Danio rerio: one gene and its partners. The protein of the gene in region 2 interacts with the protein of the main gene of each other region in a pairwise test. Links are inferred from orthologs where the notes say so. Each region holds a gene or a part of one and is shown on either strand. Other genes may lie near its edges. The genes, in order: hdx, sufu and glis3.

Evidence for each region.
Region 1: the proteins of sufu (region 2) and hdx interact in binary tests that used the Homo sapiens proteins (3 or more experiments, as listed by UniProt). The link is inferred for Danio rerio from reciprocal best matches to the Homo sapiens genes SUFU and HDX.
Region 3: the proteins of sufu (region 2) and glis3 interact in binary tests that used the Homo sapiens proteins (3 or more experiments, as listed by UniProt). The link is inferred for Danio rerio from reciprocal best matches to the Homo sapiens genes SUFU and GLIS3.

The regions. Positions count from the first base shown.
Region 1 is NC_133189.1:6,749,662-6,753,323, forward strand, and holds part of hdx (highly divergent homeobox), read right to left. Parts: 5' UTR 3,644-3,662; coding exon 3,608-3,643; intron 2,699-3,607; coding exon 2,552-2,698; intron 1-2,551.
Region 2 is NC_133188.1:12,265,132-12,268,793, reverse strand, and holds part of sufu (suppressor of fused homolog), read right to left. Parts: intron 3,161-3,662; coding exon 3,088-3,160; intron 683-3,087; coding exon of another isoform or gene 680-682; coding exon 526-679; intron 1-525. UniProt on the Homo sapiens protein: Negative regulator in the hedgehog/smoothened signaling pathway. Down-regulates GLI1-mediated transactivation of target genes. Down-regulates GLI2-mediated transactivation of target genes. Part of a corepressor complex that acts on DNA-bound GLI1.
Region 3 is NC_133185.1:953,821-957,482, reverse strand, and holds part of glis3 (zinc finger protein GLIS3), read left to right. Parts: intron 1-1,805; coding exon 1,806-1,928; intron 1,929-3,662. UniProt on the Homo sapiens protein: Acts both as a repressor and an activator of transcription. Binds to the consensus sequence 5'-GACCACCCAC-3'.

The DNA of each region.
Region 1 (3,662 bases), on a different chromosome or scaffold from region 2:
CAGATCTCAAATTTCTCTTGTGAGTGGCATTCGTGCCTGCTTTTCTTGTGTAAATCCACCAGAGGCCGCTGTCAGCTGACCCACCCTTCTCCTTCTTAAAACATAACTGATATTGTTTTAATAAGCAATCAAGAAATAGAAAAGCATTCGCGGCAGCCACGTTTTAGAATTTAACAGATTCTCACCCTGTTATTTACTTGTTTATTTTATTTTTTGGCTTTTGTTTTTATCTTACCTGCTGCCGGACTCGTACCCCGTCGTCAGTCAACTTTGCTCCACGTCACAAGTCTGCCGACGTATGCAAAAACTGGTAATAGCGAAAAAGCTGTCCATATGGAGGTAAGCCGTCAGCTGGTAAGCGCCACAAGGAACTGCATCCTATCACCACATAGCATTCGTTTTAAAGACAAATTGTACCTCTGGCTATATAATTTGCGATCTCCAGAAATGTATTTACACTATTCTCCGCATACGACTGGGCGCAGCCATTTGAATCTTTTTGGCTCGAGACTTCCGGTCTAATTCATTTATTTTTAGACGTCAAAATTGGCTTGTTTTGCTGCTTGATGTTGCAAACTGATATTTTCTTATTTTATTATTCTATATTGTCTGTTCAGTCATGGACGCACTTGTTTGTAGAGCACGTAGTTTGACCATTTTCTGCCGTTTACTACTCATTTCTACCATAGGGAACTGAATCGAAAGTTCTTAATCGCAAAAGAGTGCACTTTTGCATTGAAGAATAAGGTCTATATATTCTTATATATATTCTTATATTCTTCCTATAATATAGGAGTACGTATTCAGAATGAGCCTATGTTGGGGATTACTATTGAATACTATTGAATTCCATACATTCTATAGTGGAGTGAATTCCATAGTAGTTGGCCATCAACTGGAAGTGAAAGTCAATGGTGACCAAACATCTCTTTAAGACTTTACCAGTGTCATACAGGACGCCCCCACGGTAGAGGTCTGCATTTTAAATTTCTGAATAAATCGTGGGAGCGGTCGGTAACGGGTTTAACTTGGGACTGGACCGGGCCATCTAGCAATATCGCTTCCGATTCCTGAGCGAGCGAGCACGCATATGTATGTGTGTGAATGAGACAGCGCGATGCTGTGTTTAGCTTGTTTATAGCTTTGTGAGTGTGTGTGGGCGTGAATGAGAGAGAGAGAGAGCTTTGTCTGTGTGTGTGCTTGGTGCTTGTGTGTGTGTGTGTGTGTGTGTGTGTTTATACAGACAGCTTGTTATAGGCTGTCTGGACTCTGTATTGCTGGGTGGTTTTCGGTTTTGTTCTCCCCCCCGCTCTTTAGCCGGATCAGGCGCGGCGGGTAGAAAACGGGGCGGGTCGGGCAGTGGACAACAAAAGCTGAATATAAGCGGGAGCGGTCAGGTTCGGCCTAAAACCTGGCAGGAGCGTGATTCAAAATTGTCTCGCGCGGATCTCTACCCTGCGGTTTGCATATGCATATTGCATCTGTCGAAATAAAAAAGTCTATAAACATTGTAAAAATGCATTAAACATAACATTCTTAGTTATAGTTCTAAGATGTCTTTAGTTTGCGTGTGAGAAACAGAAATTGTCAAATTGATTTATGTGATTATTTTATATTGAACTGGAATGATTTCACTAAATAAAGACGAGCGCACAAAGCCATAACACTACACTGTTGTGTCCTCATAATCAATTAAAACTGCACATGTATGCCAAGTGATGTAATAATGTCATGTAATGTAATAACTCTAAATAATGTGATAATTATTACATTACTATTGTAATGAAATGTTCATAATGTAATCAATTTTCTTAAAATGTAATAAAATGTTGATCTTATATTGCAATGTCTTACATTAAACAACTTTCACTGTCATATCTGTAATAAGCTATTTAAAAATAAAAAGACTCCACTGTTTGTTTAAACTACCTATAAAAGCACCAGATTCAAATATGCATGCAATAATATTAATAACTACTCCTAATACTCCTAATTAATAACTATGTACTTTTCTGGATAAAATGTGAGTTGCGCAACATCAATATCTCTGCTTCAGAGCATCATAGAGACATGGGGTTTAGGGCTTTTGACTGGCAATAACTAGCTAACAATCAACTATGTACTTTAACATGCTACATATTAGATGAAGTATGTTAGCATAAGCTAGCCACGTTAAAACATGCTAGTAACATTAGCTAAAACATTTAATGTCATGCTAAAAATGCCCTGTTATGTTCACCTAATTAACAGGTTGCTAGCATTGAGCTAGTCATGCTGTCATGATACCAATCCATATACAATCACCACAAACCAGAAGAGACATTTCGTATTTGTAACAAACTTTCTACTAACAAACTGATGACATTGTGCCATTTCTTTTAACTTTAAAAAACTTATTAACTTTTCAACTTTTAATAGATATTTAATTAACTTATGTAATAGTTGTTTATGTATTGATATCAATTGTGGAAATGTACATAATGCTAGACCACTAAATGGAAAAAAAAAGCTGCAATTATTTATAAATGAACAAAAGGAAACTCATGCTTACTCGAACCACGCTGAAGTCAAGTTTGGTCTCTTGAGCACACTGCAGGATGAGCTGGAAGCAGCTCTTGCTCTGATTGGTCATGCCGTTCTCATAATAGCGTTCCAGGATCCGCTGTTGCTCGGCAGTAAATACAGACCGCAAGTTCATCTGTAAGATGAAAAGGATGTTAAATGAACAAGAACATCAATAACAGCCTACTGTATTAACAAAAGTCATTCTCAAAACACATCTTAAAGTTAAAGAAGCCCATATTTGAGCTTTTCATGATGGGATAACTGCTACACAAGCAGATGATAATAACTATCATTACAGAGTTTCTAAGGATTTCTCTTAGACAGGTAATGTTTTGTTTTAAAACTATTTTAGCTTCATGCAAAGCTGATGTAACGTTAGATGTTGTTGTTACAAACGGGATATATCTTCAAAGAAGTGTTGTTCAGCCACTAAAATCTTCCGATGAAAGATTGATAAGACTATTTTCAGTTTCATAAGGGACCTTTTACAGCATCTATAATGTAGATTTTAATTAGTTTACCAACAAAACACAAGTAAATAGCGCTATTCCGCCTAGTCTCTCCCTATATTGTTTACCATGCAACTCTAAATATTCACTCTGACATAGCATGTCAGTTTGGCTTGCTCAACGCCGGACAAGCACTAGTCGCTTTTAACACATGAGAGAGGGTTCTTTTGCTTTGCTAGGAGGTGTGGCTCTAGACGGCAGGGGAGGGACTGTGATTCAGAGATTTATGCTAAGCTTTTAGCATTGTGAAAGATCACCTACTGCACCTTTAACTGAACATTTTCATTTTGGGCTAAACTATATACTAGAATACATTAATTTATTTTCATATTTTGACACTTTTGTTCTTTTAATATGGATCTTCACATGCATTTTTATGAACTTGTGTTTGACACAATGCTGTTTATCACATTAACATGAATTTGTTTGGTTACATCTATTATAGCATTGTACATCATTATATTAATTGTACATTATTATATTAATGTGAATCGCTGAGTTTTTAGTGCATATGAGCTTGTAGGCATACTCACAGTGTGAATGCTCCTCTTTTCCAGCCATTTTTCCATCCCTCTGATGGATGTGCTG
Region 2 (3,662 bases):
ACTATAAGGTTTTCTAACTGGCGAATGACATGATCTAATGGGTTTCTGTCATCTTTAAAGTGCACACTCATGATTTCAGGAGGCGTAGCTTTGGACAGCAGGAGAGGGACTGTATTTAAAAGATATTGTGCTAAATGTTAGCATTTAGGCAGATGCCTTACTGCTCCTTTAAAACATCTATAATAATTGTGAAGAGTAAAGCGGAATACTTCATGGATTTCACCTATAGCAGGCTATTTTTAGAATGTAACTCCTGCAATTAACGAGCAACAACTGTACAGGCATAGTAGAATATATACAATATTGTATGGATATTGTAGAATAAGTGGAGGGATTTTCTATTTTTTACTATTTTGTCTATTTTTTCTATTTTACATCCCTTTAAGAATAGTATTTGTGATTTTCAGTTTGTGCATAAATCTATATTGATACAGAAAAACAAAATCCCTGCTTGAGACACTGTATTTTAATCAAGCTGGTTTGTTGAGCCGTTCTTAAATTGCATTTGTCCTTAGCATGCCTCACCTTTGTCCGACAGTCTGCGTGGCTGTGCCCCAATGCAAATGCTCCTGCTGTCGTCCTCGTCCTCGGGAGGTCTGCTCAAGTCATCCCAAGCACACTTGGCACTCACCCCACTCAGGTTAGAGCCATCCGTCTCGATGCCCTTATCCACTCGTTCCTGCTTTGGATGAGCAATCAACACACGCACATATCAGCAGGGGAGAAGCGTGGCTGGACATGTGTCCGTCTCAGTGTATAGAGCAGAGGACTAACAGCAGGTGGAGGGGTCCAGTTTAAGAGGCCAGACTTAATTACAAATCCACCTTTTCAATGCTGAAGCTTCACTGTGTGAGTGTGCACAGTGTGAGTATATTTTCATTTTTGGGTGAACTATACCTTTAAATCACCAGGAATTAAAATTGTGTGTTACTTGAGAGATGTAAACTGTGTTAAGGGAGTAAAGGTGGCAAATATTTCAAGGAAAAGACCATTTTAGCTTGGATGAGGCACTATATCTAAACAGGCTATACTCTCAACCCTAAAGTGTACATTTGAAACTTTGTTTAAAGTACATAAGTAGTGTAAATTGCAAAACAAATTAAATATCCAATATTTAACTTAAAGAATGCAAATACTGCATTAGCTTAATAAGTTAAAATTATTCTCTGATATCTACATAGCAGGTTTATGACGTCAGTAAATTTAATATATATATATTTTATTCTCATGTTTTGATCCATAAAATAGCCCTAGAATCAGAAGGTCTATAACTGACCATATATGGATCATGTCATGAATATTACTGAGCTCAGCACTGACCTGCTTCTCTCGCAGACATACACACCATAGACTAAACAATATGTAGTATCCGTGACGTCACCCATGGGTTTCTGAAGAGCGCAAACAAAGCTAAAAGTGGGCATGGCCAATCAACGCCATTTTGTTCGGGCGTCATCCCACCAGGCGTGGGGATACCAAAAAGGGCAAAAATGACGGAGCTACAGACCCATGCTATCATTTTGCTTAGACAGTTTTTTCATTAGGAGAAACGTTAAACACTTCATTATACCTGCGACACGTTTGTGTTCTGACCACATGCGCTTGATTATCAATCAGATTCTGGAGTGCAAGTTCAAGTAATTATAAATGATAAATTATCCTTTATAAACAAATACATTTATAGATATGGAATATACAAGCATATAATAATTTCACTCACGTGGAAAATGGAGGCGACTTAAATGGTTTGAGCAGAATTAAGTGCACAGTAGTGCAACAATACAGTTAGCTCACGGTTCAATACATACCTCAGTTTTTTAACACGGTTTTTGGTTCGGTTCTCATGGCTTGACACATGTGTGTTTTTATTATTCAATAGGCAATAGGGACAGTAAGAGGTAAGGGAGAAAAAAATATAAACAGTTTATTGCAATACTTATTTTGTTTTACTTAAAAGCCAAGAAAAGTACACTAGTTCCTAGTGCATTGTATAAAAAAATTAACACTGAAATCTCACAGCTGCTGGTAGCCCATGTACAAACTGGGGAATCCTACATTTAGAAAATAAACATACATGTGAATTAAATAAGGATAAATTGGTCATTTTAAATAAACATATTTGTTCTTAGGTAAACATAAATAAACCATCCTAATTATCTCGGTGCTGAAAAAATGCGAGACTGTAGTCTGTAACACGGATCGAGTGCTTTTATAAAATGACAAAAGCCCACATCTCCAATCACCGAAAACGGCTGCAAATCTTAAGCAACAAACACCCGCACTGCCTTAGTTATTTTTATGTGTCTCTTGGAACCAGTTGGGTAGATTCAGCGAGGGAATTGTTGCTATTTGGAGGACTTTATTACCTTCTCTGCTATCCTGCCTACAGACAGTGATATTGCTGGGTGATGGCGCTGCAGATGTGCAGTCATGGTTATACGTGTAAAACAATGCTTGCGCACAGTTATTTTTTGTTTACCGTTTTCTCTTTTATTGGCATTATGCTTACCAGCATTTTCACTCCAGTTTAAATTTGTTTTCTATTCGTTTTTTGCTGTTGTTGTTGTTTTTCAATAAATATTCAATAAAAATATTTTTTAGAAAATTTAAACAAGGTAATACTGAAAAAGCTTAGTTTTTTTCTTAAAAAGTTACTAATATTAGTAGTAGTGGTAGAAGTAGCAGTAGTAGTGGTGATAGATTACCCTTGTCCAGTAGAATGTGCTCTATCTCTGTCCAATTTACATTTAAGTTAAAGCAAACTTTTATTCAGAAACAAAGACGCTGGCTATTTTATTTTTTTACATAATATAATGATAAACTATAATAATAACAAATCGCTTATGAAGTGATTCAGAAGCGCATTAAAATGCAAGAAAACGAGAAGCCTCGCCTTTTCCATGCAGTTTTAGATGTGAAATGTGAACGGCCTCTTATGCAGCCAACTCTGTTTTTATGACTGAATTCCACCAACATTTTTTGCACTATGAAAATCATAGGGCTGTAAGCTTAGGAACATCATTATAAGTATTTTTATCTGCGAATAAGCTATTCTTTTAGCACCATGCACACTACAAAAATCCTTACTTGCAAATGTGGATCAATGTCAAATATGGATTCTCCTCTTCTCATGTCAGTGATTAACCATGGACCTCCAGCACTGCAAACAAACCAGAAGAGAAATCAAACTTCATTTCTGAATAATGAAAAATAAGAACAGCACAAAGCATCCCAGCCAATTTGAGCTCCCTCGTGCCTTCTATAAAGCAACAGCATTCAAAATCCACTACTCTTATCTGCAATTTCCACAATGCCCCAGCACGAAAAAATAAATGTAGTAAGACACAAATGCAGTGCCCTAGACTGAATTCAACAACCTTTGTAAATATAAGCAAAGAAAGCTGTGTGTTGTTCAACCTTTTAATCTTTTGCTAAAAAATAGTAATAAAAAATGAAGACATTTGAGTTGGTTTTGGATGAAAGCAGAAGCTTTTTCTTAAAGCCATTTCAAATTATTTGTGGTGATGTAGGTTACATCAAATAGTCAATCTTGAGTCAACCAAATAACTTCTGCAATTCTCCAGCTGTGAATCTTTGGATATATTTTTGGTCTTTCATACCCTCCTCCTGACTGTGCATTGGGACGAAACACACTTCCTCCT
Region 3 (3,662 bases), on a different chromosome or scaffold from region 2:
AAGTTGGCGGTTTATTTCGCTGTGGCGACGATTATTATTATTATTATTATTATTAATTATTTCAGTATTTCAATTGCATATATACAGTAGATGACTACTGAAATATATTCTCTGGCTGTTGAAACATTGCAGCTGTAAAATTAATTAAAATTAATGATTAATTTGAATTAATTAATTAATTAATGTAATTTAAATTAATTAAATTAAGATTAATTAAAACTAATATTAATAAAAATTTTGTTAGCATATGCAATCCTTCTGATAAACGTAACCTTCTATAGAAAAATAGAATTGTTCTGTAAAATGTATGTATATAACAAAAAATACAGTTTATATTTATAAATATGTATATGTATATTTATATATATGTATATGTATATTTTCATAAACTAATTGCTCAACTGAGTTTTTCAAACGCATATGCAATCATCCTGATAAACAAGCTTTTATAGTAAAAATAGAATTATTGTGCAAAATATAATTAGATTTAAAAAATACAGGCTCTGTCATTTATCCTTTGGTTTATCCTTTTTATTTTTACTATTGTTGTTGTTGTTGGCATTATTAATATTATTATATTATTATTTATCAACCTCCTTTATTCCTGTAGTTTGTTCATTACCCCACTGTTATATGCTGATGGTCTGCATCATATTTTCTGTGTTCACATTTAATTCCAAAAATAAAACATTTGATGTAAGAAAGTAAAAAAATACTAATTAATCTGCTTCTCTGAGTTGATTTATACACAACTGCTAAATTTATATAAGCTATTTAAGGCAAGTACGTTATAAGTAAATGGAATTAAATGTGTTAACTAATTAATGAATCCCTTACTTTACTTATTTAGCATTTAATTACATGAATTAGTTCATTTGTAGCTAATTACACTCAGCGCTGCTGATAATCTGCATTTTACAGTTTGGATTAATGATGCATCTGTGTGGCATCCAGCTCTATATACGCTGAAAAAAGATATCAATAATAATATTGCCAGCAGAAATTCATTGGATTTACTCAGTTTGTTTAAGGTAACTGCTTGCAAACTATTGATATGGGCTGAATTTAAACAAACAAATTAAAATTAGCAATGTTCAACTTCATTTGTTTGTAAAATTCAGCCCATATCAGAACCACTTCATTCATTCATTTTCTTTCGGCTTAGTTCCTTATTTATCAGAGGTCGCCACAGTGGAATGAACCACCAACTATTCCAGTGTATGTTTTACACATGAATGCCCTTTCAGCTGAAACCCAGTACTGGGAAACACCCATAAATACTCATTCACACACACACACACACTCATACACTACGGCCAATTTAGTTTAGTGCATGTGTTTGGACTGTGGGGGAAACCGGACCACCCGGAGGAAACCCACGCTAGCATGGGGAGAACATGCAAACTCCACACAGAAACACCAACTGACCCAGCTGGGACTCGAACCAGCAACCTTCCCGCTGTGAGGCCACAGTGCTAACCACTGCGCCACCCTTTGCCACCACTTATACGCTTTTTCAGTGTATATCTCCACACAAGCCATATGCACTGATTATGCATATTTAGGAGTGTAAGCGGAGAACAAACCGATCGGCGCTGAATGATTCACACACTCGTACAGCAACAGATTGCGGTTCTGCAAAAATAGATCCGTTTAATCTCATCATGCAGACCGCAGAAAGTTTCCCCGAGTTCAGATGTCAGTGTGAGGAAGGGGAGTCTGACATTACCGGATTACAGCAGGATTACAGGCTGCGCTGTGAATAATCTGATCATGTTTGTATTTGTTGCGTTAACTCTGCTCAGGTTTCTCGGCTGTGTTTTCATACGCCGACTCAGACAAACACATCTCCTCCTGCTCCGTCATGCAGACGCCCATGTTTGAGGACAATCTCAGCTCGTCGCCTCAGATCCACAGCAACATCTCCGGTAAACACACACACACACACACTAATACTGGGACAATCAGGCTGTGTGATGTTGTGTTGTCTTTGTGTGCCACACAGTTGAAGTCAGAATATTTCCTAAATGATGTTGAACAGATTGAGGAATTGTTCACAGTATGTCTGATAATATTTGTTCTTCTGGAGAAAGTCTGATTTGTTTTATTTGGTCTAGAATAAAAGCAGTTTCACATTTTTAAACACCATTTTAAGGTCAATATTATTCGCCCCTTTCAGCAATATTAGTGTTGGATTGTCTCCAGAACAAACCACTGTTATACAATGACTTACCTAATTACCCTAACTTTACCCTAATTACCCTAGTGAAGCCTTTACATGTCACTTTAAGCTGAACACTAGTGTCTTGAAGAACATCTAGTCTAATATTACGTGCTGTCATCATGGAGAAGAGAAAATAAATCAGTTATTAGAGATGAGTTATTAACACTGTTATGATTAGAAATGTGTTGAAAAATTCTTCTCTCCCTTAAACAGAAATAAAAAGGTGCGTTAATAAATCAGGGGGTTAACAATTCTGACTTCAACTGCATATATATATATATATATATATATATATATATATATATATATATATATATATATATATATATATAATACATATTATATAGTTTTAATTTTAAATTTTATATTTAAAATAAATGTAAATAAAATTAAAGATTTTTTTATAAAATTCTGATAATAGAATTAAAATAATTTCCGGCTCATTCTGGAAACGTAGTCCCGCAAACGTTTCTGGGGACCGAGAAATACATCCTGGAAGGTACGTATTTGTGCAGACTTTGTTTTCGCGAATGCGCGTGAGGCCTCTGTGTACGCTTTTTTGCATCTCGAACGCCTCTGTGCTCGCATAAAGCCGCTGGAGGGCGCTGTCGAGTGACTGTCTGTCCGACTGACTGAAGGATTGACTGGGGGACCGGCCAATTGGCCAACCCACCCCCTCCTCCTCCTTCCCTAAACCTAACCGGTTTTACCGATTGACCCGCCTGGCCGCCCGCTTCCTTCCCTAAACCCAAGCAATGATTTACAAAAGCCGTCCAGAAAAAGAAAAGCCCTCGTCTGATTTTGACCCTGTTTTCCGATCTCACCACATTCTCACGCTGTTGTTCACTCAGTCGTTTTATTTTTTGGATTCTGTTTTTGTCTTACCTGATTTCCGGAACCGATCTTTCCCGGGCTCAAACCCTGGTCGTGGCGGACAGCTCCCCTCCGGATCTCCACTCCGCCGTCTTACACAACGAGTTAACCAGACAAACTGGTTGCGGCAGGAAAGTCCTCCACATGGAGGTGAGCAGTCAGCCAGCGAGCGCGAAGAGGAGCGGCGTCACACCGCCCTGTAGCATTCGCTTAAAATAAATGAAATGCAGCCATACGTACATCCAGCTACGTAAATCGCGGTTTCCGGAAACGTCCGCGGGACTACGTTTTCAGAATGAGCTTGGGTGGAAAATAACACAAAGCACAACAAATGTATAATATTTCTATTTTTAATATATAATTTTTTATTTGTTAATAAATCAAGGTTTAAATGAGCATTTCATGCAAACATTTTAGAGAACATGTCAGACAGGTGAGCCTTCAACAATTGATAAGAGAAAAAAAGTGCGCCCCCCTGTGGAAAATGTTGAGAACTCCTGTCGCACACTAATATTTAAACAATTTCTAAAAAATAATCACGTTCTGGTCATCTGATATTTGGCAT